Arabidopsis thaliana: one gene and its partner. The protein of the gene in region 1 interacts with the protein of each later gene in a pairwise test. Each region holds a gene or a part of one and is shown in the gene's direction. Other genes may lie near its edges. The genes, in order: TED3 and DSK2.

The links.
Region 2: the proteins of TED3 (region 1) and DSK2 interact in binary tests that used the Arabidopsis thaliana proteins (3 or more experiments, as listed by UniProt).

Annotation. Positions count from the first base shown.
Region 1 is NC_003070.9:30,014,768-30,029,503, forward strand, and holds TED3 (Pex2/Pex12 N-terminal domain-containing protein / zinc finger (C3HC4-type RING finger) family protein), read left to right. Parts: upstream 1-4,976; 5' UTR 4,977-5,176; coding exon 5,177-5,266; exon of another isoform or gene 5,267-5,270; intron 5,271-5,338; coding exon 5,339-5,452; intron 5,453-5,525; coding exon 5,526-5,685; intron 5,686-5,761; coding exon 5,762-5,898; intron 5,899-5,998; coding exon 5,999-6,099; intron 6,100-6,314; coding exon 6,315-6,432; exon of another isoform or gene 6,433-6,892; coding exon 6,893-7,059; intron 7,060-7,274; coding exon 7,275-7,389; 3' UTR 7,390-7,719; downstream 7,720-14,736. Other genes in the region: AT1G79770 (CASP-like protein (DUF1677)), read left to right, coding at 1-107; AT1G79780 (Uncharacterized protein family (UPF0497)), read left to right, coding at 1,163-1,374, 1,667-1,802, 1,874-2,089; FHY1 (Haloacid dehalogenase-like hydrolase (HAD) superfamily protein), read right to left, coding at 2,220-2,340, 2,418-2,505, 2,605-2,865, 2,946-2,997, 3,063-3,138, 3,205-3,419; ENODL7 (early nodulin-like protein 7), read left to right, coding at 3,782-3,986, 4,077-4,450; SGB1 (Major facilitator superfamily protein), read right to left, coding at 7,814-7,999, 8,100-8,214, 8,296-8,384, 8,487-8,560, 8,817-8,960, 9,214-9,367, 9,461-9,554, 9,950-10,062 and 5 more; GC5 (golgin Putative 5), read right to left, coding at 13,343-13,351, 13,430-13,504, 13,593-13,706, 13,793-13,852, 14,141-14,361, 14,438-14,552. UniProt on the Arabidopsis thaliana protein: E3 ubiquitin-protein ligase component of a retrotranslocation channel required for peroxisome organization by mediating export of the PEX5 receptor from peroxisomes to the cytosol, thereby promoting PEX5 recycling.
Region 2 is NC_003071.7:7,474,738-7,490,262, reverse strand, and holds DSK2 (ubiquitin family protein), read left to right. Parts: upstream 1-5,022; 5' UTR 5,023-5,172; coding exon 5,173-5,401; intron 5,402-5,513; coding exon 5,514-6,278; intron 6,279-6,572; coding exon 6,573-6,805; intron 6,806-6,881; coding exon 6,882-6,995; intron 6,996-7,175; coding exon 7,176-7,228; intron 7,229-7,620; coding exon 7,621-7,649; intron 7,650-7,821; coding exon 7,822-7,905; intron 7,906-7,981; coding exon 7,982-8,130; 3' UTR 8,131-8,382; downstream 8,383-15,525. Other genes in the region: Kin3 (Protein kinase superfamily protein), read left to right, coding at 495-570, 885-1,219, 1,320-1,455, 1,543-1,685, 1,767-1,890, 1,967-2,397; AT2G17210 (Tetratricopeptide repeat (TPR)-like superfamily protein), read left to right, coding at 2,655-4,865; AT2G17190 (ubiquitin family protein), read left to right, coding at 8,902-9,130, 9,508-10,254, 10,550-10,752, 10,837-10,950, 11,053-11,108, 11,498-11,526, 11,671-11,760, 11,843-11,991; DAZ1 (C2H2-like zinc finger protein), read left to right, coding at 12,616-13,428; AT2G17170 (Protein kinase superfamily protein), read right to left, coding at 13,825-13,905, 13,989-14,180, 14,277-14,362, 14,432-14,501, 14,581-14,708, 15,029-15,164, 15,234-15,525. UniProt on the Arabidopsis thaliana protein: Binds and presumably selects ubiquitin-conjugates for destruction. Prefers multiubiquitin chains rather than single ubiquitins, with a binding affinity for 'Lys-48'-linked ubiquitin chains.

The DNA of each region.
Region 1 (14,736 bases):
TGAGAGATATGCTCCGGAGAAGCACGAGGGGTCAGTCTATTATCCCTAAGCCCGCCATTTCCCGTACTTCAAGCTGTATTCCTGCCATCACCAGGGACCTTAATTAATTTGTCTCTTCTAATATCTTAACGTTTAATTTAGTCCCTAGCTAGCTATAGCTACTAGTACTCTAAACACTCATATATATATATATACTACAGTACTAATTAATAAAACTGATCCAGATATCCTGGTCAAGCGTAATATAAGTTGTATTTAATTCCTATGTATTTTCGTTTCTTTCAATCCAAAGGAACCAGATACTTTTTTCTATAGAAATGAAGGGATCATGAACTGTCTATATAGATTTGTTTTTTCGCTATAAATTTTCAATTCAGAGGAATAGAATGGATGTGGGATGGGATGATCAATGATGGGTCCATTCTTGCAAATCTCTTATTCAGGTGAACTCATCATATATAACCGCTAGTTTACCACCCGGCCGAGTGGACGACCTATTCGTATATCTGTTATGACGACACGTGTCAACTTTTCTTTGGCTGTATCCCCTTTCCTTTAAATTCTGTCTCCGTTGAATTCCGGATATATAGATTTAAGTTTGTGACTCCTCAAATTTCTCTTCTCTCAGTTGTTGTAGTATTAGTTATAACACTATCACATCTCAAAAATCTAATTAACCTATCGTCCACGTACATACAAATATTAATTGATGTTATAAGGAGGAGAATGTGAAACATATGAGAAAGTAAATACAAATATCATTCAAATCGGGTTCTTTGGCATTTGCGTCTTAATAAGCAGAGAACATGAGGCACGCTGATTGTACCTGCTCATGTACATAGAGATAGACAAGTCCCCCAATAGAGATGTTTATTTTTCCATCCCATTTTTTAAATTACATATAAATAAATATATAAGAAAGGAATGAGCTAGGCTTGATTCACAACTTTCGTCTTTTTTTGTTATAAAAGAAAGAAATACAAAGTCGTATAAAAAAAAGAGAGAGCGAAACAGGAGGAAGCAGCAACACGGAAAAGGTGGAGGAGAAAAAGAGAGTACTTGTTGTGGTATAAAGAATGAAGGAGTGAGTTTGTGTGTGAGTTTTATAAAAATAAAAAAGCAGGAGCATATCACACAAACAAACAACGTAGAAAGGGTTCGAATGACGAGTAATGGAGAAGGGGGAGAGGTGGTGGCGAAGAGGAGGAGGAAGGGAATTAAGGAGCTAGTGCAGGTGGCTCTCAGGGGAGGTTGTTTGGCTGCTTCAGCCACGGCCATGGCGGTGATGCTGACCGCTACTGAGGAGGGAGTGGCAGACATCTACGGCTTCAAGCTCACTCTCTCCTCCAACTGGTCTTTCTCTCCCTCCTACCAGTCAGTCTTCTTCTTCTTCGTCTTCTTCTTCTTACGAGCATTATAATTAGGGACAGACATAGCAATTAGAATTTTCTTTTTATCTGAATGCATATATATATATTATAATAAAAGAAAAGCAGCAAAACAGAATGTGTGTGTTCGGATGACAGATATTCCGGTGAACAGAAACACATCCGTGAACCAAACAACAACATGACATTATTGTGTGTCCTAGCTAGTTTTAAACTTTGTGATTATATATAGTGTATATTTCATTCATCTCACTAAGAAAGAGTTGTTTGGTGTTAAGGTATGTGGTGGGGGCATGCGCAGGGACCGTGCTCTACTCCCTGTTACAGCTCTGCCTCGGTGTTTACAGACTCGTCACCGGATCTCCCATCACGCCTTCCCGCTTCCAAGCTTGGCTTTGCTTCACCTCCGATCAGGTTCCTCGTCTCCTTTTCTCCATTCCCTTTTCTTCCGAATGTAACCCATTTGATTTACTGTGTGCACGCAGCTCTTTTGTTATTTGATGATGAGCGCTGGATCAGCCGGTTCCGGAGTTACCAACCTCAACAAAACCGGCATCAGGCACACTCCTCTCCCCGACTTCTGCAAGACCCTTTCTTCTTTCTGCAATCATGTCGCCCTGTCTCTCCTCTTAGTCTTCCTCTCCTTCATCTTCCTCGCTTCCTCTTCCTTCTTTACTGTCCTTGTGCTCTCCACTCCCTAGTCTCAATATTTTCGCTGCTTTATATAATCCAACAAAGACTCTACTTGCAATCCCAAAAACAATGTATTTCTCTTTTGAGTATTTCTCTGATGCAATACATTTAAGATGATGCGTTGTGATGAAATTACAATCATAATTTGGGTACAGAGACGTTGATCCCTAGATCTGAGAGATCCTTAGCGAGCGAATCTGCATTCTCAAAGCATAACCCACCCATCCCTATCTCTATAGCACACTTGACGTTGGTTGGCCTGCGTATCAGACACTCCTTCAGATCAAAATGGTTTCTTTCTTTTAAGTTATAAAGGCATTGAGTTCATGTTATAACCTGTCATCAATGAATATACAGTCGCAAGGTTCAACTCCGAGGTGTCCCACAACCTCGAGGTAGAACTCTGGATCAGGCTTTCTCTTCCCTGAAAGATATAACACATGAGGAGCTTTGTATGTAGTAGGAATGGTTTGGATCTGACAAGCAATAAGTAGTAAAAAGAGGCAAGAGATGTGTGATGTACCAGCAATACAGGAGCAAAACGTCCATGATAAGTAGGCAGAAAGCTTTAACTTGTCTTCGATAATGTTGTACCTATGGAAACACGACAAGAGTAAACAAAGAGACATGAAGCTCCGTTTCAAAGAGTGAAAGGCAAGGGATGGAAACCAGATGGGATAGTTAGTGAAAGCATGAATCTCGAAGTCGTCAGCTGCCAAAGTTTGAAGGAGCTCTTGCATGCCATCTAAGTAGGAGTAACCTGACCTCATGCACTCCTTAAGCCCTGCAATAAAGAGGATTGAAATAGGTACGAGGAAACCCTCTCTCTGTGTATTTACCTATCTATCTATATGGCAATCTCACCTTCCAAATCAAAATCCCTCCCATCTATAAAGAAGTTTCTAGCAAGCTCCTCCTAAAACCAAAAGTCAGAGGAGATAATATGAAGAAAAAAAGAAAGAAAGAGTGGTGGTACCTCACCTCATCAATCAAACCCTTTTCAAATTCGATCCAGACCATCGGGTGCTTGCACTCTAGTAGTTGCTTCATTGGCATTCTGATCCACAACCTCAGTTTATCATTGATGAATCGAGAAATAAATTCGAGGATTTCACTTTCTCACCCGAAGAAGGCCGGAACGTCCTGGTAAAAGGGGTCACGGACGATGGTGTCCATGACGTCGAAGAGGAGAATCGGAAGCTTCCTTTTCCGAGAGATTTCATCACCACTGCTGCTGCCCAGACAGCAAGAACCCGAGGCCCGAACAGGATTCTTCTTCCACATGTTGGGTTTCAGATTGATGAATTCCGCCGATGTGTGCATCGCCGCCGCCGCCATCAGAAACTACCTAGTTTCTAGTTCCGATCATCATCATTTGTAAATGACAACAGGGGAGTCGAAACGCAGCGTTTAGAGAGAAAATCGCAGAGGAGAAGGTGATTGGTCCACGTCAGTAATTAGGATGACGTGGTGAAGAAGAAGTGGCCCATGACTTGCAGCACGAAGGAGAATGAATGAATTAAATAAAAACCGTTTCAAATTCATCTCCACGACTCCTCGGCCTCGGAGAGCTCAACCGCCACTTTCCTTCTCCTTGTTTATATAAAGCAGAGCCAGCCACCTTCATTTTTACACACAACCATCAAAGCTACGTACGAATTCCTCTCAAACATACTATATACTTACAAAAGAACAAGAAGATGATGATGATGATGATGAGATCTACTTGTAATCTAACACTAATGCTCTGCATTTGTGCCCTTGTGGTGGCTTCCATGGCGGCGGAAGGTCCTAGGGATTTCAAGGTTGGAGACGAGTTCGGGTGGAGAGTCCCACTCCAGAATGATTCAGCGGTTTACAGCCACTGGGCCAGCAGCAACCGCTTCCACATCGGTGATTCACTCTGTGAGCTAGCTTGTTCCCAACTTGTGTTTTCTTTTTTTTATCATTCATGATCGGTAATAATTGATTGGTTTCTAATCAAAAATATGTCAGCGTTTGTGTACGACAAGGACTCGGTGATGGAGGTAGACAAATGGGGTTTCTACCACTGCAACGGCAGCGATCCCATTACAGCCTTTGACAATGGAAACAGCACATTCGACCTTGATCGTCCTGGTCTCTTCTACTTCATCAGCGGCTCCAACCAGCACTGCACCAGCGGCCAGCGTCTCATCGTAGAAGTCATGCATATCCACCAACACCATGACCATGACGCTTCCATGCCTCCATCCATGTCGCCTCTTTCTAATTCTGCCTCTCCCTACGCATCCGCATCCGCATCTTCTGCTGCCTCCTCCCTGCCTACGGCTTGTCTTCTTATTCCTCTTTTCTTAACCATTGCTAGCTTTCGTTTCATTTCTTATTAGTCAAATTGTTTCCCTTATAGTTCTTCTCCTCTTTTACTTTTCTTCATCTTTTTGTTTCATTCATCGAACCCTTATGGTATAATCCAATTTATGTTCTTCTCTGACATTTATTATAAGTTTTACTTTTCACTGTTCAAAACAAATCAATCAACAAACTGTGGAAAAAAAATAAAAAATCTATCAACAAACTACACAAGAGCATCGTTATTAATAGTTTCTTAAAACAATTCTTAAGTTAAGAGACAGTCTTATAATAGCTTATAATTAACAAAGTCTCATAAATAAGAGACTTTAATACAATTTTGTTAGATATAAGACATATCTCTTAACTAAGAGTAATGTTAAGAGATCATCAATAAGGATAATTTTATGTCGTTAGTACTAATAGAACCGGGCCCTAGAGTTTGTAACAGATATGGGCCTTTTTATTGCTATGGGCCTATTTTTGGTGATATGGGTCTTTAATACCATATGAGCCTTTTAAGACAAAATAATAATCTGATAAAAGTGGTGAATCAAGAAGACTAAACAATTTTGAAAGAAGAAGAAGAAAGGAGGAGACATGGATGAATCTCTGTGGGTGTGAGTGTGAGACAAAGAGAGAAAACAAACAACGTAGCTGTAGATTGGAAAAGACGGTAAGACCCTCGTCGGGCTTCATCAATAAACAACTTTGCCTTGTTGTCTATCGCCGGAATTACAAACCCTAGCCCTGCTACACCGCCAATGACGCCGTCTACGCCTGCAGACGATGCTTGGATCCGCTCTTACCAGCGCTTGCTTCCTGAATCGCAGTCTCTTCTCGCTTCCCGCCGGGTAGGTTCTGTCTCAGGGATGCTTGTTTGTGTCGTGGCTTGTTTGCTTATTATATGTGGTCTTTGATGGCAGTCAGTTATACCGGTTGCAATCTCTAGAGTGAATCAGTTCGACGCAGCACGACTAGATGTGGAAATGTCAGCCATGTTGAAGGAACAGCTCGTTAAGGTTTTCACTCTGATGAAGGTGAGCAGAGAGCTAACTTGATGCTTTCCTTGGCATTTTATTAAGCCATTTACTTTCTTTGGCATTTTATTAGCCAGGAATGCTCTTTCAATACGAACCAGAGCTTGATGCTTTCCTTGAGTTTCTCATTTGGAGATTCTCTATTTGGGTTGACAAACCCACCCCCGGAAACGCTCTCATGAATCTTAGATACAGAGATGAACGAGGAGTCGTTGCTCAGCACTTGGGGAAAGGTATTTTTTATTTTATTTTCTAAACACTCTTCTTCTGTCACCCTTTTTTTCTAATCACTCTTGTACTCTCGTATAGTCAGAACAGGACTGGAAGGACCCGGACTTACTTCTCCCCAAAAGATTTGGTACTGCGTTGCCTCCGTTGGTGGTCAGTACCTCTTCTCCCGTTTGCAGTCATTTTCTGCTTTCCGTAGATGGGGTGATTCTGAGCAGGTCTGTATGAGGAGCATGGTTTATTCTTTTTTTCTCCCGTTTGCAGTCATCCTCACGCCATCGCTATGGTTGATTCTTTTCTCCTTGTTTTGACTTGTAGAGACCATTGGCAAGGCGACTTTGGACCCTCGTACAACGAATCGAAGGCATCTACAAAGCTGCTTCTTTTCTTAACCTATTGTCATTTCTTTATACGGGAAGGTACAACTTGGTACATGGACTCTTTCATTTCCTCTACTTATCCTGATAAAACCACACTGCAGTGCAGTTACTTCTTATGACCATTTAAAATCTGATTCAGTTCATTGGTAACTTTTGAGTTCACAGTGAAATATCGAAACAAGAACCAAAATCACAAACAGAAATACCTTGATGATTCTCACTTCCGCTACTCTTCTTTTTCTTTCTTGATCCAGGTATAGGAACCTCATTGAAAAAGCTTTAAAAGCTAGGCTTGTCTATAGGAGTCCCCATATGAACCGATCTGTCAGCTTCGAGTACATGAATCGGCAACTTGTGTGGAATGAATTTTCGGTAGGTCTTCTCTGTGTGTTGCTTAACTAGTTCAACATCAATTTAAAAGTTTGGCAACCTGTCAGTTCTGAGTAGCATCCTTGGCTGATGGTTTCTGGCCTATGATTGATACTTGCTGGTCTCGAACATTTTCTTGAATGATAGTATCTATCAGCTTACCTTCACTTTTTCTTTGGAAGAAACACTTTTGCTGCTTGAACTTGAGCTGTTAAAAGCTGAAAACATATTGTGTCCGTATCTGGAATTCTGAACTATGTAGATCCTGTGACTCAACAGTTTCATTGGAGTACAAATACCTTGTCTATGTTCAAAACACTGTATTTGTCGCTTTTTCTCTCTTTCAGATCCTTCAATAGATCAAAACATTCTGTTTAGACTTGCTACCAGAAACGTAATGTTAGGATCTGATTTCCTGGTTCTGTTTTGGCATTCAGCTTTAAATTTGTTTGGTGATATTCAGGAAATGCTTTTGTTGCTTCTCCCGCTGCTCAACTCTTCAGCTGTTAAGAATATTCTTAGTCCATTTGCCAAGGACAAGTCCTCAAGCACTAAAGAGGATACAGTGACTTGCCCTATTTGCCAAGTGGATCCTGCAATTCCGTTTATAGCTCTGCCTTGTCAGCACAGGTATGGTATTTTTCTGTGCAAAAGTTTTGGATCAGAATAAAGTAGTTAACTCTCTCCCCAGACATGTACTATAACTGATTGTACTAGAAGCAAAAAATTTCACATGATTGTGTATCTGACTTTGGAGAAGACACAGAAGTGATTTTATTGACTTGTTGAATTCATAGTATGTGCTGTAGTTGTTACATACATTTAAAAGAATTGACTTGTCGCAGGTACTGTTACTACTGCATAAGGACCCGCTGCGCTTCAGCAGCATCGTTCCGGTGTCTTAGATGTAACGAGCCTGTGGTTGCCATACAACGGGAAGGTGTTTCAAGTGGCAAATGAATGGAGGTGACAAATTGTTGAGTCATGCCACCAAGTCTTGAAGAATAAGCAGATGCAATAGTGGAAGTGTAAAAAGCCAAGGCAAGCAGCCGAAAGCAGAGAAGAATCTGATAGGTGTTTGTTTGCAGACAGACTATACAATAAGGGAACATCATGAATGTGATGCAACAAAAAAATTAGATAGGTGCACTTCTGTACATGAGTTGAGAACCTACCATTGTTGAATGAAGTTTGGTCTTATGTTTATTACAAAATCAGTTGAAACGTTGGCTATACTCGAATGAATAATATCCATTTCCTTACATGTTGTTTACCTACTTACTACTCACTCCTACTTCCATATTAGGTACACGTTACTTGTGTCTCTCCAAGGAAAAAAAGAGAGCCAGAAGAATAATACGAATTCTCAGAATAAAGAGATCAATCACTGGGTGGAAGAGAGCAGACTGATTTCTATCTCTTGTAGGCTCTTTCCTTTAGTCTCAACCACGTTCTTCTGCACAAAGATGACTGCCACCACACAGAAGAACCCAAATATTGCATTTAGAAGCACCGAACCTAGTTGCTCCAGCATTCTCAGAAACAGCAGCCCGACAAAGAAGTTTATAACCTGTTGTAGCGTGTAATTCTCCAAGCTTATTATTATTTCAACATTATCGATTTCCTAAAAAAGTCCACAAAGAGAAAAAAAAAAAAAAAAAAAGGCATACCCAGTGAACGGCAAGACAAACAGCCAACGCAGTTGCTCGAAGTCGACCAGGGCATATCTCAGACAGGAGAAGACTTGGAACAGGACCCGCTCCAGTTGCAAACGACAACACAAACCTGCATTCGTAATCACACCCCTAGTTTATCAAAATAAAACATCCCCCTTTTCCAGTGCTGTTGTTGTGATAGAAAACTTACAGCAGCATTCCTCCAACCGAGAGAAACAAGGTTCCAAAGGGCGAAGGAAGCGAAGTATATGCTATTGCTTGGAGACCCAGCGATACTGCCTGTTAAAGATGATAAACATTTACATCTACATACATGGAGCGTTATTAAATATTAGCTGCGTAAAGTTTGATTCAAATAGCACTTTTTGCCTCAACAATTACCATGCCCGCAAAACTCCCAATAAGCAACACTTTTCTCCCCAGCTTATCCATCAAAACCACAGCAACAGTTGATCCTGTACAAGAGTATGAATGATGCTCACATTCGTTTTAAATACAGATCATCAACATGTTGAAAGGAAAGATTTCAGATCATCATCTTTGTGGTAAGAGGAAGGTTGTTCACTTAAACCAGTGATTAGTTTACTGTTCCTAATGTTGTGTTTGTATTCAGGAAGACTGCATTCACCTACTTGCTTATCTAGCTTATCATGAATATGATGGCCTTTCAAGCCATAGTAGAATGTACAAGAAAAAGTCACATTTCAATACCTAAGAGGTTGCAAACTCCTACACATATGTTTGCAGAGGCTGAAGGTACACCAGCTTTCTTGAAGACAGTTGATGAGAAATAGAACACAGCATTTATCCCAGACAACTGTTGTAAAGCAAAAAGGGTAGATCCAATGAAAACCACTGCAATCGGAGAAAATTTAAACGTAAAAATGAAGGTAATTAAGAGGCTACACATCATCTATATGTATGTTTTTGGCAAATGAAAATGTCATTTTTTTGGCTATGGATCCAGTTTAGCCACCTAACATACCTTCCGTGCAAATGATTCAACTTTTTGATGAATAAAAATCTAGATCTAATATTTCCGTGATATTTGACATCGAACTAATGCCACACATTTTCACCAATCTTGTTGGTTAAAGATCACACATACCTCTAAAACTGCGTCCAAAAAGCAACTCCGACAATTTGGCTGAATCGGCGTCATCTCCCCTATCCGACTTCACTAACTCTGCCATAGCAGCTTTGACGTACGACCCTCCCAATAGCTTCTCAAACACAGCTTCAGCTTCAGCTGCCCTTCCCCTCTACGGTTAAACAGAAAAAGAATCAACCAAAGAAATGGTTTATAAAAATCAAAACGTCTTTAAGAGCTATGCGGGTTAAAATTAGACAGTAACCTTAAAAAGCCACTGAGGACTTTCCACGCAGAGTTCCATGAAGACAGCAAGCATTGCAGCTGGGACTGTGGATATCCAAAAACATATGCGCCACCTACACCAATCAAGAAAGAGAAACCTATTCAACTAGTAATTCAGCCAAGTAGACCAAAGCATGTGATCTGCTAGTAGCTTAGAAACTCCAGGATTTCTTTCCCTACAAAGGCGGTTCTCATGTCAAAATCACTAATGAATTTGCAGCAAAAGATGAGGTGGTTCCTATAGAGTTGCAGCATTTTAACAAGGCACTAGAGATTCACATTGCATATAGGTGGGTTTGGAATAGACAACGGGGATCAAACATGCCACCTAAAGCAAGCAAAAAGGGTGAACTACCATGCGTTTGGAAGTCACAGATGGCACAGAGTTGCAATAATTTCAACCTCGAAGAGTTACAGGCCATATAAGCTGTTAAGTCATCTATTCCTTGAGTTCTTATCAACATCTTACCAGCCCAAGTTATCTTTTGCCGGGATTCCAGCAAACAGCGAACCTAAGAGTCCAATACATGTTGCGATTTGGGTAGAACTCCCATATGTACCTCTCACATAAGCAGGTGACACCTGCAAAGAGAAACTGTGAGTCTTGCTCTAAGTATGAATGTAAGATGTATTGACAAAGCGAGTTAGTGATATTTGTGTGCCCAGAACCTTCTTTTTCACATTAAATAAATCCAATAATGCGAATATAGCTTTCAAGATTGAAGTCCTTATTACAATGAAAATTATGTGCGTCAATGACCTTCTGCATGTTAATGGTTCCAAGTTCAAGTCTTTTTATGTCTGAAATAGACATCTATTTACATTGACTCCAAACATCTTTTGACATAATTAAAATAATATACGCCAAGTAATATTCACATCAAAAGTGAGGAAGAAATTTCATGTAGCAATCCTATCAAAACAAGTGCAGATAAGAAAGACTTCAACGTATATGTCAAGTACCTCAGTGACATAGAGAGCTGTAACAGAAGGACCTATGCCCATCCCAATTCCGACCAAAAACCTTCCCAGGAGCATGCCCATAAGACTCTCAGTTGATGCACTGCAAACAACACACTTGTAAGCACACAGATTTCATGATTACATAAATGGACTCTGGCTAAAAGAGAAACAGGATGAATTAACCTAACTAGTGAGTACACCTTGGGATAAGTGAAAATCACCATGGCAATGACTTGAGACCAAATATGTTCAAATGAGGCCAAATATGTTAAAATCACCACGCTATAACTATAAACATCCAAGCAGGAAATCACTACGAGATAATCCAACTGCATAATGACTAGCCTAGACCACAGGTTCAGCAAATCAACAGGCAAAGATTCGAATCTGAAATGTTCAAGTGCCCACATAGACATTCAACCAAAAATATATATCATACCATAAGAACCTGAAACAAGTACTTAGTCATGTGAACTGAACAGCCTAAACCCCCAATTAACCTGAACAAAACATCACCTCACAGAAGCTCCAACAATCATTGGTAAAGCGCTCAACTGGAAAGCTCTACGGCGCCCAACACCATCAGCTACCAACCCACTGAACAGAGACCCAATAAAGGCGCCGCCTAAGCAGGTGCTAACCACAAGACCTTCATCCATCAGAAAAAGGTTTTTGGAATGATCAGACGGGAGATAGACACAAAGACTGGATAAACAGAAAAACAAGTAAGTTGTCTTCTTGGATAGGTAAGGTACCTTCAGCTATGGTGTTCCCACTAAAGCCAAGGTCAATTGATATGCTTTCGAGAGTTTCATTAACAACCCTGTGTCCAGAAAAGAGGCATGAATTTGCTATTATTCCCAGACATATACATTTATAAAAAACTGAGTCATTGAGGCAAATAGATAATGTTATCGAGTGCTCCAAGAAAAACAATGCATCGAGAAGAAATACAACTTGAGCCTGAAAAATAAGCTTACGAAAGAAAAAGATAATAGCCTAGCATCATGAGAAGTAAATTTCCATGTTTGGTCTATAAATGCAAAGATGAAAAAGAAAAAAGGAAAAAGGGAGAACAAATGTCACAAGGAGAGACCCGAGATGATAGCCGAATAAAAGCGAAGTCAGAGAAGCAACGAGCACGTGAGGCAGAGATCGCTTCCAGGAAGGATTCCCGCAGTCTTTTCCCGTCCCAGTAGGAAGACGTACTGGAGTTGAGAAAAGTCAAGAGTCAGTCTATGCAGAAGAAGTTTCAAGATATTGAGGCAACAAGAAAAAAGTGGTATATCTAGGTACAATGCTATGTCTAAAACACAAACAAGCAATATAGAGTTGATGAGCAAATACAATAAAAAGATCAGAAGTGGTCTTTAAAATATATAACACTGTCCGTGTGCACCAAAAAGTAGGCAATAGAGTAAAATCATGACTATTATGAGGGTGGGTACAAAAAACCTGCAGTTTCAGCTTTATCCAAAGCAGAGAGAAACTCTTTAGAAGGAACACGCTTGTCTATGTGACGACCTCGCATAATGGTGTAAGTGCGTCGAACAGAATCCATCCCCTCTGGAAACACGCTCCTGCACATTCAAACAAGTTGAGTGCTGACTGATGCAAGGCCATAGAAGAAAAGCATACGAATAATGGGATTCTTCAACATGGATGGATGCTCAAAGACGTCAAAGTCGCAATTTATTAAATAATCAATCCATTAAAGGAAAGCTTCATTCAAGTGCTACTTGTTAGTGTGTGTGAAGTCCAGCGATCACTTACACATAATCAAAACCAGCCTTGCGAGTCAATTTAAAATTCAAAGCACACACATGACGTAACGTGACGTGAGCTACTAGGAAAATTCCAGAATCAACAATATATTTATTTTAAAAATAAAAAGAGATAAAAGAAGAAACAAAAAAGCTGACGACAGATGATGAGAAAGTGAGATCGTCGGATCTGACGGAAGCAATGTAAATCAGAAATATAAGATTTGGATTAAAAAAGGCAATGGCAGATCTACAAGGAAGCAAGGAAGGAAGGAGGGATGCAAACAAAGAGAACAAGGATGATGATAGTACCAACCTGGAGAGGAAATATGATAACGTCGAGAGGAATCGTCGAATAGAAGAAACTTTTACAGAGGAGCGACGACAACTTTATGGCTACACCTACACTCACTCCGTTCACAGGGGATGGGTTTTAATCACCTGCTCTCGCCTCTACCGTTCTTTTCATGGAACTCAGCAAACTATACTCTAGTACCAATGAAATAATGACATTTATATATGAATTCAGTAATGCTGTATGTACAAGAGTACAAGACTTTTGATGAAAGGATCCCTCCCCTGCTTTATGACTATTGATTGATGCTGAAACCAGCCTACAACTATTCATTACAGGAGAAGCCATTGCAGAGCTATTTTGGGCCTTTGGGCTTTTATTAACATTTACAAGAGGGCCGGAGGCCTTTTTGTTCTTTATTTTCTTTATCTATCATTTCTGTGATTTTGATATCTCATTCGGGTCCATTCGAGTCACACAGTTTTCCTATATGGATGGATTGCTACATCAACGAATCCCATTATTAATGGGTCTCTCCACCGTTTTTCTACTACACAGACAATACATGTTACATACGTAGATAAGTCACACAGACAAAAGTTTATTCTCGTCTCCAAAATAATAATTTACGATCGAATTCACTGTAAGAAAAATCTTCTTTCGAGCAGCAAAAGTTTGTTTTAAAAAGCCTCAAGTTCAACCAACACCTGAGAGACAAAACGACAAATGAATATAGTGGGCTTAGGTTGGTAGCTTATAGAGCTATACAATATTGGGGAAACAAGGATTAGGTGGTCCTACTCGTGAGCCTGAGCTTGCCAACACCATCTTCCCTTGCCCCTCATTGGATCTGCAAACCCAAAATTGCACAAACCCATTAGCCTGAGTTTGTCAACACTTTGACTCCACTTGTGTCTGTTTGCCTTACCTTGTTCACCAGCATGTTCACTTGCTCCCTGTACATCTCCTTCAAGTCCACTATATCCGCTCGAAGTTCCTCCAACTACCACCCAAACCCACTTTTTTATTAACTCAATGCCAACTACTGTTGTTAATGCTGGATACACTACTATTTTATTCACATATCTTACCTCCTCATCTCGTTCACCCATCAATTCCAGAGCAGCCGCGTGTCTTTGCCTTAGTGCTTCCAGCTCTGCCTTTATGCCCGGGACCCTATCTGCCTCCCCCCGTAGCTTCTCACACTACATCCACAGTTACCAGATATAGACGAAATATCATCATAACACTGAGCATAATATCAACTCTAAACTCTCAGCGCTATACATACCTCTGCTGTCATTTTGACTAGTTCTTCAGCCAGGGAATCTCGGATAGACTCCATTGATGCCTGTCCAAAGGCAAATAGACTCTTACAGTTAGATTCTACAGATAACGATGATACTAACAACCAGCCTATACTACCTCGACGAGTAGAGCTAAACCTTCTAAACCAGCTTATAAAAGAAGGCTAACCACGGTGTGCAACTAACCAATAATTTCTCAACATGATCCAAACACCCATAGTGTCCCATTGTAAGGACTGATGTCAACCTCAATCCCATTACTAAGCCAATTGCCAAAAGCCTACCAACAGAGTTACACAAAAATGTCCCAGTTGGATATTTTCTACACCTACCAAGCGGGTCATGTATGAAGCAAGTTCACCCTCTTTCTGTCGAAGTGTGGCTTCATAAGCACTCGGTGTGATGCTCTTCATGTAGTACGGACTCATAGTTGCCTCAGGCATGCTTCGCTTCTCAGAAAATTTATCTGAAGAATCAAGAGAAGCTTGCAGAAAATAGCTCTCCTCCATGCTTCCAAGGCTGCTTGCGCTTGATAGCTTTCTAGGCAAGCTTCCTGATGCAATAGTTAATGAATTACAGATGTGCAATGCCTGACTTATTAAGCAGTAGTATAGATCTAGATGCATCACCATTCTCAAAGGCAGAATTTTGCCTTGCTATAGGAAGCTGTTCAGAGACTGCCGAGGAATTGATACGGGCCGTTCTTTCAAGATCCAAACGTGAAGCCTTCTCCCTCTCTAGGTCCTGAAAAAAATAGGCCATATTGAGAAACTACTTGGACAATAAAGAAGAGTAATAAACTGGAACAGTTCGGTTGTTAATAGAAGCTACTCAGGATGAAAAAGTTTGGGAAAGCACTACTTTGATTGAATTCGCTAGGTACTTCAGTCCTTTAAATTCCGTAACTGATGGGGCATTTTTCATGGGA
Region 2 (15,525 bases), on another chromosome or scaffold:
AAATTATTTTTCTTTATAGTTGACTTTGACCTTTAAAACCTCTATAATTCTCTCTTTCCTTATTCTTCCTCAAATCTTTGCACCACCATTCTTTTATGACTCAGTCTTCTCTCTCTCTTCTCTCAATGCCCATGATAACACCAAACCACTTGCTTCTGCTTCTCACACCACAAAATTCTCTATTCAATAAATAAATCTCTCAGAAGAAATTTCTTCGAATTGGAGAAGATAAAAAAAGTTTTATCTTTTCTTGATTTTTTTTCTTTTTTTTCTAATCATTCACACCCAATTTAAACGAGACTTGTCCAATCTCTATCCATCAATATTGTATCATTTCTTGTAAAGTACTCTGTTTTAGCTTCACACGCCATTTTTTGTTTTTCCATTTGACTTCTGTAAAATCCTGACAAAGAATTGTTTAAGACATACATATACGTGTTATATATTTGTAAAGGAAGCAAAAAGTGTTTGGCTTTTAATTTCTCTCTGTTGGGATGGGTCTTTGTTGGGGATCTCCATCTGATTCTCCTCCAACAACAACACCTTCCTCTACTGGTAACATCAGTTCAGGTTTGTCCTATCTATATCTACTGAATTTTCCCATCTGGGTTTTGCTTAAACTTGCGTGATACGTTGCAATTTCTGTACTTGGTTGTTTGATGCATAAAGGTTACGCTTTTACATCTTCTTGTATCGTTTGTGACTCTTCTTTTGGTGTTATCTCGTATGGGTTCTATGAAAGTTTTGACCTTTTGATTAAAAGACTCTGTTCTTCTTGTGTTTTTGTTGAATCAGATTCATTATCATACTTAATGCTGTTTGTGATCTGTTATGTGACTCTCTGTTTTGGGCTTGACTTTGTTTTCTTGTGGTTGTAATTGAAGTAGGGACTTTTAAGTCATCAAACAACACGACGACTACAGGAACATCAAGGGGAAGTAACATATCTAGCAATAGTGGGTTCTCTGTGGCAAGTGGTGAAGATGCTTACCCCGATGGTCAGATACTTCCCATTCCGAATTTGAGGATATTCAGCTTAGCAGAACTTAGAGCTTCAACAAGGAATTTCAGGTCTGAGAATGTTCTTGGAGAGGGAGGATTTGGGAAAGTCTTTAAAGGCTGGCTTGAAGACAAGACTCCAGGGAAACAAAGCAACGGAACTGTGATTGCTGTTAAGAAACTGAATGCAGAAAGCTTCCAAGGATTCGAAGAATGGCAAGTGAGTAAAGTGAACTATGGGAAACTAGTTTTCTAACTTTGATATACAAAGTGAAGTTTTGTTTGCTGAGTGGATAGATTCTTTGTTGGTTGTTGTGCAGTGTGAAGTGAATTTTCTTGGGAGGGTTTCTCATCCAAACCTCGTGAAGCTGTTGGGATACTGCTTGGAAGGTGAAGAGTTGCTTCTTGTGTATGAGTATATGCAAAAAGGGAGCTTAGAGAATCATCTCTTCCGAAGTAAGAACATTCTTTAATCAGAATCTTTTGCTTATATGCACATTTACATCTCGATGTTTCGATGTGTAATTGCTTCTATTACTTCAGAGGGGTCTGCCGTTCAGCCACTCTCATGGGAGATAAGGCTTAAGATTGCAATAGGAGCAGCTAAAGGCTTAGCATTCTTACACGCTTCAGAGAAGCAAGTAATTTATCGAGACTTCAAAGCGTCAAACATTCTACTTGATGGGGTAAGTACATACAGATTGCTTATGGATTTGATGTAGCAAATCATCAAGTGTGAAATTTCAACTGGTTTGCTCTTGATGCAGTCATATAACGCAAAGATATCAGATTTTGGATTGGCGAAATTAGGACCTTCCGCTAGTCAATCTCACATCACAACACGGGTTATGGGTACACACGGTTACGCAGCTCCAGAGTATGTTGCTACAGGTACTACAATGTTTTGTATTCTTAGTTCTTTTGGTTTCCAACAACAAACTGTGAACATGTTTGTTGGTTCCAACAGGTCACTTGTATGTAAAGAGCGATGTTTACGGGTTTGGCGTTGTTTTGGCTGAGATCTTAACTGGTTTACATGCGCTTGATCCTACTCGTCCTACCGGGCAACACAATCTAACCGAATGGATCAAACCTCATCTATCCGAAAGAAGAAAGCTAAGAAGCATAATGGACCCTCGTCTAGAAGGAAAATACCCTTTCAAATCTGCTTTCCGAGTAGCTCAACTGGCTCTGAAATGCCTTGGACCCGAACCCAAAAACCGTCCATCGATGAAAGAAGTGGTGGAATCGCTCGAACTCATCGAAGCTGCCAATGAGAAACCGTTAGAACGAAGGACCACTAGAGCTTCCCCATCCATCCGTCAACAACAAGGCCATTATCGCCCGCAACAACTCTCTTCGTTTCGTCCTAGACAAAACGTGTCTCGAGCTCACTAGTGTTGTTTGAAGACACTGAGATTCTTTTCTTAGTTTTGTATTTGTTAAGATTATCAAAACCCATTCGTATGTATACTACATGAAAGAGAAAACAAATGTTGTACCTGTATTAGTATGTAGTGTTTGGTGTGTGTAATATAACTACTTAAACGGTTAAACCAGATTATGAAAAGGTTTAACTAATGGTCATCAATATATAAGCCATTGTTCACACAATTTTGTTGTTAAAGCTTCAAACTTTAGTTGTGGTTTGAAGTATGGTAATGGGATCACACTTGTGTTCAAAGCTACAAGCTTTGTCTTCGAAGATTAAGCAAGCTTCTGTTAGTGGAAAATGGCGGGAAGTGGTCTCTGGGTATTCAGAGATACAGAGAGCTGGAGTTCAATTTAACGATCCTTTCGTTTTCCCCATTGTTTTTAAAGCTTGTGCTAAGCTCTCATGGCTGTTTCAAGGTAGATGTATTCAAGCAAGTCTGTTAAAGAGAGGTTTTGAGTCTTTTGTTTCTGTAGGGAACTCAATTGCTGATTTCTATATGAAATGTGGAGACTTGTGTTCTGGGTTACGAGAATTTGATTGTATGAATTCGAGAGATTCGGTGTCTTGGAATGTTATCGTTTTTGGGCTTCTCGATTATGGTTTTGAAGAAGAAGGGTTATGGTGGTTTTCGAAGTTGAGAGTTTGGGGTTTTGAGCCTAATACTTCAACATTGGTTCTTGTGATTCATGCGTGTCGTAGTTTATGGTTCGATGGAGAGAAGATTCATGGCTATGTGATCCGTAGTGGGTTTTGTGGGATTTCGTCTGTTCAAAATTCGATCTTGTGTATGTACGCAGATAGTGATTCTTTAAGTGCACGTAAACTGTTCGATGAAATGTCTGAAAGAGATGTTATTTCTTGGAGTGTTGTAATCCGAAGTTATGTGCAGAGCAAGGAACCTGTTGTTGGATTGAAGTTGTTTAAAGAGATGGTTCATGAGGCGAAAACAGAGCCTGATTGTGTGACTGTGACAAGTGTTCTCAAGGCTTGCACGGTGATGGAGGACATTGATGTTGGAAGATCAGTTCATGGGTTTTCGATACGGAGAGGTTTTGATTTGGCAGATGTGTTTGTTTGCAATTCACTTATTGATATGTATTCAAAAGGATTTGATGTTGATTCAGCATTTAGAGTATTTGATGAGACCACTTGTCGAAACATTGTTTCATGGAATTCGATTTTGGCTGGGTTTGTACATAATCAAAGGTACGATGAGGCTCTTGAGATGTTTCATTTGATGGTGCAAGAGGCGGTCGAAGTGGATGAAGTTACAGTCGTGAGTCTTCTCCGGGTTTGCAAGTTTTTTGAGCAGCCATTGCCTTGCAAGTCAATACATGGTGTAATAATTCGGCGTGGATATGAGTCAAACGAAGTGGCTTTGAGTTCTTTGATTGATGCGTATACAAGCTGCAGTCTTGTTGATGATGCAGGAACCGTGCTTGATTCGATGACGTACAAGGATGTGGTGTCATGTAGCACAATGATCTCTGGATTAGCCCATGCTGGCCGATCCGATGAAGCAATCTCAATCTTCTGTCACATGAGGGATACGCCCAATGCTATCACCGTCATAAGTCTTCTTAACGCATGCTCAGTTTCAGCGGACTTGAGAACTTCCAAATGGGCACATGGGATTGCTATCCGGAGAAGCTTAGCCATCAATGACATCTCAGTTGGTACCTCTATTGTTGACGCATACGCAAAATGTGGTGCCATAGAAATGGCGAGAAGGACTTTCGATCAAATCACTGAGAAAAACATCATCTCTTGGACCGTGATCATTTCAGCATATGCTATTAATGGTCTACCGGATAAAGCATTAGCATTGTTCGATGAAATGAAACAAAAAGGTTACACACCAAACGCTGTGACATATCTGGCAGCTTTATCAGCTTGTAATCATGGAGGATTGGTAAAGAAAGGTCTCATGATCTTCAAATCAATGGTAGAAGAAGATCACAAACCTTCATTGCAACATTACTCTTGCATTGTAGACATGCTTAGCCGAGCTGGAGAGATTGATACGGCTGTGGAACTTATCAAGAATCTTCCAGAAGATGTTAAAGCAGGGGCTAGTGCTTGGGGAGCGATTCTTAGCGGTTGCAGAAACCGTTTTAAAAAATTGATCATTACCTCAGAGGTAGTAGCTGAGGTTCTTGAACTCGAGCCCTTGTGTTCTTCAGGTTACTTGCTTGCGTCAAGCACATTTGCTGCAGAAAAATCATGGGAAGATGTAGCAATGATGAGGAGGTTGGTGAAGGAGAGAAAGGTTCGGGTCGTTGCGGGTTATAGCATGGTTCGTGAAGGAAACTTGGCAAAGAGGTTTTTGGCTGGAGACAAGTTAAGCCAGAGTGATTCTGAATTAAATGATGTCGTTCAGAGTCTTCATAGATGCATGAAGTTAGACGATACTGCAGGACCGATAAACTAAAGCCCTTTGGGCCTCAACGAAGCAGATAAATGATATTATTATACGATGCCGTATGTATTCTCGGATCCGGGTGAGAAAAGGAACGAACCGGGTTTTGTTTTTGACCCGACCCGGTCCCTTCGATCCGTTCTCTGAAGCAGAAGTCTTCTTGTTTTGTTCTCTTCGATCCATTTCGTCAAGCAATCTACCGAACCGACTCAGAGCTTTTGAGTCTTCTAAATCTCTATCGAATTTTTCTAGGGTTAGGGCTCCTGATCGATTTCGCGAGCTCTGCGATTATTTTAAGTATTAGGATCCGAAATTAGAAATGGGTGGAGAGGGAGATTCAAGTCAGCCGCAGAGTGGTGAAGGAGAAGCTGTGGCTGTGAACATCAGGTGCTCTAATGGCACGAAATTTAGTGTGAAGACGAGTCTCGATTCAACGGTGGAGTCTTTCAAAGAGTTGGTGGCTCAGAGCAGCGATGTTCCAGCTAATCAGCAGCGCTTGATTTACAAGGGTCGTATCCTCAAGGACGATCAAACTCTCCTCAGCTATGGTAATCTTCATCGTTTCTGATTTATTCGTGTGGGTACTTTTGTTGTTCTCGTAGATCCTTATTGATTGAAATTCTTGTGGATTCTATTCTCTGTGGAACATGTTATACCTAGGTTTGCAGGCTGATCACACCATTCATATGGTTAGAGGCTCTGCACCTTCTTCAGCACCACCTCCTGCTCCGGCCGCAAGCCAAACCACTGCACCTAGTGTTACTCGAGGGGTTGGTTCAGATAATAGCTCGAATCTAGGAGGAGCGAGTCCTGGGGAATCTTTGTTCCCTGGGCTTGGATTTAATCCTCTGGGTGGTGGAAATGCTATGTCTGGGTTATTTGGAGCTGGTCTTCCGGATCTTGTGCAGACACAGCAACAACTAGCTCAAAACCCTAACATGATTAGAGATATGATGAATACTCCAGCCATCCAGAACCTTATGAACAACCCAGAGTTTATGAGGAGTATGATTATGAATAACCCTCAAATGCGTGAGCTTGTAGATCGCAATCCTGAGCTTGGTCATGTGCTCAATGACCCAAGCATCCTTCGTCAAACTCTAGAAGCGGCAAGAAACCCAGAGCTTATGCGTGAAATGATGCGGAATACTGATAGGGCTATGAGTAATATTGAGTCTATGCCTGAGGGATTTAACATGCTTAGGCGTATGTATGAAAATGTCCAGGAACCGTTAATGAATGCTACCACTATGTCCGGGAATGCTGGAAACAATACAGGCTCCAATCCATTTGCTGCTCTGTTGGGAAACCAGGGGGTCACTACGCAAGGAAGTGATGCTTCTAATAATTCTTCGACACCAAATGCTGGAACGGGGACTATTCCGAATGCAAATCCACTTCCTAATCCTTGGGGTGCTACAGGTGGTAAGTAACTGCATTTTCATCTTCTAATCTCCTGTCGATTTTATTTGTCTTTTGAAGGATGCAGTAATATTTTATAAATGAAAAAGTGGCTTGTTTATAAGAAATGGACGTTACTGTTCACTGCTCTGCTTCAGGAACAATATTGTGTATAGTAAATTGGTGAGTTAGTGTAGTTACCACAATTTGTTGTTATGTGTAGTTTTTGCATATGATTTTCTTGGCTTATTGTTTCTAATTTAACATTTACTCATAATACACTAAATATAATTGAACATATTGTGGGCTACTTGACAGGTCAGACAACTGCCCCTGGAAGGACAAATGTTGGTGGGGATGCGAGGAGCCCTGGACTTGGTGGCCTTGGTGGTCTTGGAAGCCTTGGAGGCCTTGGTGGACTCGGTATGCTTGGAGCGGATTCACCTCTTGGTGCGACTCCAGATGCTTCTCAATTGAGCCAGTTATTGCAAAACCCAGCCATATCGCAGATGATGCAAAGCGTATTTTCCAATCCACAATACATGAATCAGGTAGGCCTAGAATGATCTGAACTTAAGAGCCTTTTACCATTGTGAACATATATTAATTGTTTTCCCTTGATTCCAGCTTATGAGTCTTAACCCACAACTCCGAAGCATGCTAGATTCGAATCCTCAGTTGAGGGAAATGATGCAGAACCCAGATTTCCTTCGTCAGTTTAGTTCTCCGGAGATGATGCAGGTTAGTTTGTCCCCTATTGTCTGTATGCATATGAATTTTTAACATGGTAGTCTCTCAAAAGAAACATTTCTTTGTATCTAAGCTATTTTCAAGTAAAGAAGTTTCTTTTCTTTTTTTTTTTTGGGACAAAGTAAAGAAGTTTCTTAAACCTAATGTTTTCTATTGTTTTTTGGTCTTCAGCAAATGATGACTCTACAGCAATCACTATCTCAGAATAGAAATACAGCCAGCCAGTAAGTTTTGTTAAAACCCTTCGTTGTTTGGATTTGCTTAAACAAAGTTGAGCATTTACATGTCCTTTACATATTGTTTTTTGGGTTGTTTAGTGTTTAGACAATGTTGTAACTAGCTAAAAAGATTGGTTGTGAACGATCTCTATAATAAGAAAAGGATTGAACCATGACTAATGCAGCAACTCTTGTATGATTTACTGGGCTGATCACTAGTAACATCTATCAAAGAGGCTATAAATAAAGCATTTTAATCGTTGGAATACACTTGAATAGGGCTCATAACATTTTGTTTGTTTTTGATTATGCCTTTTAGCATAAGCTATGTGTGTTAATCTCCATATTTTGATTTTCATCAATCCGCATTCATGTTCCCAAATCTATCTTCTCTGTAGGGATGCGGGGCAAACTGGTGCTGCCACAGGTACTCTTAAAGATATTATATGTATTTATTCTACAGTAGTATAAAGGGTTTAGTTATGTTACGTAGTATAGCAGCTACTCTTTAGTTCTCTTTGCTTTCATGTATGTTTTATTTTAGCAGATATTGTATCGTATACAAGTTAATAGTAGAATGACAATACTGATGGGGACAGGAAATAACGGGGGGCTGGATTTATTGATGAATATGTTTGGCAGTCTTGGTGCTGGCGGCCTGAGTGGCACGAACCAATCCAATGGTTAGAGACTACAAATTTTTTTTAGCTTACGCATCTGTTGTGATGGTTCCACTGAAACTTGTCTGTTTGATTCCAGTTCCTCCTGAAGAGCGGTACGCTACTCAATTGCAACAGTTGCAGGAAATGGGATTCTATGACAGAGCAGAGAACATTAGGGCGTTGCTTGCAACCAATGGTAACGTTAACGCTGCTGTAGAACGACTCTTGGGGAGTATCGGACAGTAGCATACAGGTTCATGAACTGATGTCTCTCCATCTGGCTTCTCAGTTATAGAATAAACAGCTTGAATGTGTGTTTTTCAGTAATGATATATTCATCGAATTCATAAAAATTTATATATGATAGGATCGTGAACTTTGTTGATAGAAAAGCCGCATCAATACGGTATTTGTTATCAGTGGTCACTCTTCGTCTTTAACTACCCTTAAACCTATATATCTTGGGTGTTTATCTTTGATAACTTATTTCAAGTTGTTACAACATACAACATCTGTAAATGTTTATAGACATCAAAGTGAAATTGAACCCATTAAATTTTTGGTTCCTTCTGATCCGGTTCAAAGGTTAAACCAAATTGCCCAAAGAGAGAAGTGGCATGTTGCAAAGGAATATCCAATTAGTTGATTCATCATCTTCAATTAGATTCAAGTTACAGCCAATTCCTTCCTGAACTATATACCAAATGCCTCAATTTAGACCCGACCCGGCCCAATCTTACCCAGTAAGAGTCGTCGATACGTTCTCTGAAGCGCAAGTCATTTCTGGATTCTCATTTAATTGGCCGTTCGGGGCCAAATAACTCTTTAATTTTCTGCAGTCTCATTTGTTATTCGACCAAAAATAATTTATATCCCTTTCCTCAAGAAATCTTCAGAACCGACTTATTAGAGCTTCGAGTCTCCTCAAATCTTCTTCTACGATTTTTTCTTCTAGGTTTAGAGCTTTTGATTCTCCGATCAATTTCGCGATTTGTTGAACTAGGATCTGAAATTAGAATGGGTGGTGAAGCAGATTCGAGGCAGCCGCTGACTGCTGAAGGCGTAGCTGTTGCCGTGAACGTCAGATGCTCCAATGGCACGAAATTTAGTGTGACGACGAGCCTCGATTCCACGGTGGAGTCTTTCAAAGAGTTAATTGCGCAGAACAGCGATGTGCCGGCAAATCAGCAGCGTTTGATTTACAAGGGACGTATCCTCAAAGACGATCAGACTCTCCTCAGCTATGGTAATTTTCTGATCATTTCGTGTTTCATTTCTGTTGTTCCGTTGCTTTAATTTGACTGAAAATCTCATAGGGTTTCTAGGGGGTTGGAACATTGGATTTATGTTAGGTTTTTACAGAAGCATGGATGATTTTATGAGTTTTGATGTATGCTTAATCCTTCTATGGGAAGAATAAGGAGATGTAGTTAGTGATACGATAATTGATTCATACCATTCTTAGAGTTCCTAATGTTCTCATGATCATGTATCTTCTTGGGATGTATATTTTCTCCATCAATGGCTGTTGTTGATATGATTGTGTTGGATAGTTTCCACGTTTTATTGTTTTGCATCATGAGCCTCAATGTTTCCTTTCTCTGTGGACCATTTTATATATAGGTTTGCAGGCTGATCACACCGTTCATATGGTTCGAGGTTTTGTGCCTTCTTCTCCTTCTGCTCCCGCTGCAAATGCTGGAAACCAAACCACTGCTCCTCAAGCGGTTGGTTCAAATGATAGCTCAAACCTCGGAGGAGGTGAATCTTTGTTCCCTGGCCTTGGATTTAATCCTTTGGGTGGTGGAAATGCTATGGCTGGATTATTTGGATCTGGTCTTCCTGATCTTGAGCAGGCACAGCAACAACTAGCTCAGAACCCTAACATGATTAGAGAGATGATGAATACTCCAGCCATCCAGAATCTTATGAACAACCCAGAATTTATGAGGAGTATGATTATGAATAACCCTCAAATGCGTGAGCTTGTAGATCGCAATCCTGAGCTTGGTCATGTGCTCAATGACCCAAGCATCCTTCGTCAAACTCTAGAAGCGGCGAGAAACCCAGAGCTTATGCGTGAAATGATGAGAAATACTGATAGGGCTATGAGTAATATTGAGTCTATGCCTGAGGGATTTAACATGCTTAGGCGTATGTATGAAAATGTCCAGGAACCGTTAATGAATGCTACCACTATGTCCGAGAATGCTGGAAACAATACGAGCTCTAATCCATTTGCTGCTCTTCTGGGAAACCAGGGGGTTACTACACAAGGAAGCGATACTTCTAATAATATTTCGGCACCGAATGCTGAAACGGGTACACCTAATGCAAATCCACTTCCTAATCCTTGGGGTGCCACGGCTGGTAAGAAACTGTATTCTCATCCTCTTAATTTCATATGGGATTTTACTTGTAGTTTAAGGTTGAAATATTAAATATAAAAGCAAGAGTGGCTTGTTTTTAAGAAGTGAAAGTTTATGTTTACCACACTGGTCAGGAATAGTATTGATTATAGTAATAATTGGTGAGTTCATGTTCTCACAGTTTGTTGTTATGACTAGTTTGTCTATGAATAAGTTTCTTGGCTGTTTGTTTCTAGTTTAACTGTTACTCGTAATGCACTAAAGATTTTAGAACATATTGTGGGGCTACTTGACAGGCCAGACAACTGCCCCTGGAAGGACAAATGCTGGACTTGGTGGTCTTGGTGGGCTTGGAGGCCTTGGTGGACTCGGTATGCTGGGAGCGGACTCACCTCTTGGTGCGACTCCAGATGCTTCTCAATTGAGCCAAATACTGCAAAACCCCGCTATGTCGCAGATGATGCAAAGCGTACTTTCCAATCCACAGTACATGAATCAGGTAGCGCCTTCAGTAATCTGAATTTTAGACATTGTAGCTATTGTGAGGCTGTCTTTAATATTTTAATATTTCCTTCATTTCCAGCTTATGAGTCTTAACCCACAACTCCGAAGCATGCTAGATATGAATCCTCAGTTGAGGGAAATGATGCAGAACCCTGATTTCCTTCGCCAGTTTAGCTCTCCCGAGATGATGCAGGTTAGTTGGGCCCATGTTGTCTCTCCAGATAATTATTTTTATATCATTCAGTAGTCAAATTTCTCCGACCTAATGTTTTCTATTGTTTTTTGGTCTTTTTAGCAAATGATGTCTCTACAACAATCACTTTTCTCTCAGAATAGGAACACGGCTGGCCAGTAAGTTTGGATACCCTTTTCTGTTTTCTTTAGTTGGAACATTAGTTGAGTAGGTAATGTCCTTTATATATCATAATAGGATTTTGGGTTGATCTGTGTTTAGAAAATAGTGTCACTAGCTAACCAGGTAATTCTCTCGGTGGTGAACTATCTTATATTAAGTAATAAATGGGTTGAATCATTAGTAATGCAGCAACTCTTGTATGTTTTACTGGGCTGATCATTAGTGACCTTTATCAACGGCTGTAAAGTATTTTAGTCCTTGAAATAAACTTGAATAGGAGCATAAAAATTTTCGTTCTTTTTTGGTTCTTTCCTTTAACATTTGATATCAGTGATCTTGATTTCCATCAACCTCTATTCATGTTCCCAATCCATCTTCTTTGTAGGGATCCTACGCAAACTGGTGCTGCGACAGGTACTATATTATCTGTAATTGAAGTATGAAGGCTTCAACTAGTTCACTTAGACAGTGTGCTTTTTTTTGTTCTTTTGCTTTACTTTAATCGTATATTCATTACGTTGCTTATTGAGTAAATCACTACTATGGAAATATTTATAGGGACAGCCAATAACGGAGGACTAGATTTATTGATGAATATGTTTGGCAGCCTTGGTGCTGGCGGCCTAAGTGGCACAAACCAACCCAATGGTTAGATTCACTAGGGGCTATACTTTGATTTCTTATATATCTATTGAGATGGTTCCACTGAAACATGTCTATTTGATTCCAGTTCCTCCTGAAGAGCGATTTGCGACTCAGTTGCAACAGTTGCAAGAAATGGGATTCTACGACAGAGCAGAGAACATAAGGGCTTTGCTTGCAACCAATGGTAACGTTAACGCTGCTGTAGAACGACTCTTGGGGAGTATTGGCCAGTAACATACAGGTTCGTGAACTGATATCACTCCACTCTGGCTTCTCAATTATAGAATAAACAATGTGTTTTCTTTCAGTAATCTAATTTATGGAATTCGTATAACTACATTTATGATAGGATCGCGAACTTGTGGATAGAAAAGCCGCTCATCGATACACTATTTGTTTTCAATGGTCATCTTCTTTCCTCTTTACCCAATCCCCACAACCTTTTTTACATACTTTGGGTCGTCTGTTATCTTTCAGATTCTATTTGAAGTTGTTACCTCGTACATCTGTAGAAGTTGATTTCGAAATGTGGAATGGTTACATTTACGTTTTCTTATCTCCATTTTACTTATTAAATATAGCTGTAGTGACGTTGATAATTTGTGATTGAGCGTTAAGTTTTTCATTCGAATAACAAAGATAAATACAATAATAATTGAAAGAAAAACAAAACTTATGAGGAAAACAAAAAAAGAAATGTAAATCCGACAAAACAGGGAGAAGTAACTGCTAAGAAACCGTCGATGAAAACTAACTTGTTCTTCTTCTACTTAACCAACCATAACTCCCACTCTTCTACTTTTTTTTTTCCTCTCTTTTAGTTTTTCTGTCTTCTCTCTAGTAAGAGACTCAATAATAATGTCGAACACTTCAAACTCCGATCCCAATTCCGATATCCCATTTGCTTCCTCCAATGTAACTCTTCCTAGTTACAATCAAAACCCAAGAAGAAAACGTACTAAACTCACCAACAACGAAGTCGGTTCTTCTTCGTCTTCTCCAAGGCCTAAACCGGTCACGCAACCGGACCCTGATGCTTCACAAATCGCACGACCATGTACTGAATGTGGTAAACAATTCGGGTCACTGAAGGCACTCTTTGGACACATGAGATGTCACCCTGAACGTCAGTGGCGTGGCATCAACCCTCCTTCTAACTTCAAACGTAGGATCAACTCAAACGCTGCGTCATCATCCTCGAGTTGGGATCCATCTGAGGAAGAGCATAACATAGCCTCCTGTTTACTAATGATGGCTAATGGTGATGTCCCAACCCGTTCAAGTGAAGTTGAGGAACGGTTTGAGTGTGATGGTTGTAAGAAAGTGTTTGGGTCACATCAAGCGTTAGGCGGACATAGAGCAACACATAAAGACGTCAAAGGATGTTTCGCCAATAAAAACATAACCGAAGATCCTCCTCCTCCACCTCCTCAAGAGATCGTTGATCAAGATAAGGGCAAGAGTGTGAAGTTGGTCTCGGGGATGAATCATCGATGTAACATCTGTTCTAGAGTGTTCTCCAGTGGTCAAGCGTTAGGAGGTCACATGAGATGTCATTGGGAGAAAGATCAGGAAGAGAACCAAGTCAGGGGCATTGATCTTAATGTTCCTGCGGCGACATCTTCAGACACAACGTTAGGTTGTTCCTTGGATCTTAGGTTAGGACTTTGATATATGATAACTTAAGGTTTTATATATTTATTGGGTATTTGGTTCTTTCTCTTAATTAACAAAAAACTCTCTCTGTATATATGTGTGATACTTTGTATGATGAACGTATAGGATTGTGGTATTGTATTCTATATATAAGTTAATTAGTTTATGAAATGCAAATAGAGTTATTTACTAAATGTCCAATATTCAAGAAATTAGCTTTATGAAGTTTAAAACGTTGAATCTTTTTCCCTATGTAAAAAGTTTATATTGTTTGATCATACATGTATATGTATCATGCATGGATTATGGTGTTTCTTCACAGTGTCAGTACACTAAGTGAGAAAATCAAGATTCTTCTTCCCTAAAAATGTTGCTTCGAGAAGAGTTACTTTGTTGAAGCTATTAGCAGATTCAGGGTGGAAGTTGTTGTTGACTCGAAGATGATGCCACATCGTGCTGCTTTGTTACTTCATGCATTTCAGAAGATGAAATCTACAAGCAAAAAGATTTGGTTTTATAACATGAATGCGAAAAATCTTCAGGGATGAAATTATTGTAACAGTAAGCCTCCTTACTTCTTTTTTAGCCTGCAAGGCTTTAAGTGTTGCAACAAGCTTTTTAGTGATGCCATTCTCTATATAACCCTTCCACTGCAAACATTCAGAGGCGAGTTTTAAAACTATAGTAGCTTCTTCTGTAGAGAACTTTCCCTTCAGATTTGGATCCATGAGCTCAGTGACATCCTTTCCATTGATCATCTCAGGAGCCTAGAAACAGAGGATAAATAACCACTCAGTAAAATGTAACTTGTGTTGCAAGAAACCAAGGATTCCACAAAGTCAAGCTTGAACAGAATTACTTACATGGCTCGGAGAAATTTGCAATCCAGTTAGCAGATTCACAAGGATAGTACCAAATCTGTATGTCACATTCCCAGTCCTCACGTTCCCTACAATGAGAATATAAAACATTACATTCTGATATGAATAGTCTGAAGATACAAGAGCGAATTGGTTACCTCCTTCTCTTCGATTGTAACGGATGATCTCTTTCACCAAGCCGAAACTAGAAAGACAGGCATCACCATCCTTCAACACCAGTAAAAACAGTTTAGCATCCTTAGATCACATGACAAGGCATAGGCATGAAAAATGTTGTTTAACATACCTTATCAAACAGAACAGTGTAAGCACTTAGATTATCGTACTCGTCAAAACGTACAGAATTGCAATAATCCAATGCTTCAACTATATGATACGCCACTCGCAACCTCATTGACCATTCCATGTTCTTCTCTGTGCATCACAAAAGAAAAAAGAAACCTCAAACAGAGAATGCTAATAAGTTCTGTTTCAATCAATTCTACAAGCAGATACATTTACACCATTCTATAGCATGTCACATAAACCAACAACAATGCACTCTCTCTATCTTCAGATACGTTTATACCATTCTACACCCACAATCATGCCACAAAAACCAACAATGCAGCCTCTCTGCCAAGATTCAAAACAGAGCACATACATCTATAGAACAGATCGACTAACAATCCAGACTCTTAAGCTCATATTCACCAATTCTATATCTGAAAACGAAAGAAGAGAAGGAATCATACCCTGGAATAAACGCTTAGCAAGAGTATCATTTGGCATAAACTCTGCAACAAGAAGTCCTTCATCTTCCTCGCAGCAATATCCCAACAACTTGACAAGTCTCTTGTGCTTTAGCTCCCCAGCTGTTTTTGCGTCTTCCTGAAGAAACAAAAGAGATCAAATGAACGTTGCAAACTTTGATAACCTTTAAAAGCAAAGAAAAGGTACCGTGAAGTAGTCAGGATCATCCCAAGGCGTATTCTTGAATCTCTTGACAGCTACGAAGCCAAGATTCTCTAATAAACAACCTTTGTAGACAACATTGGAAGATTCTTCTGCGTTCTCTGATATGATCTCGTCGGAACTGAAGTTATTGGTCGCCGTGGTGATATCGGAGAGGAAGAACTCTGTGACAGGCCAGTTGACGAATCCGTCGTTCTTGCGTTCGCCGGGAGGAATCTGTGGCTGTTGTGGAGGTTGTTGATTGTTATCAAGAGGCGTCGAGAAGCAACAACCACCC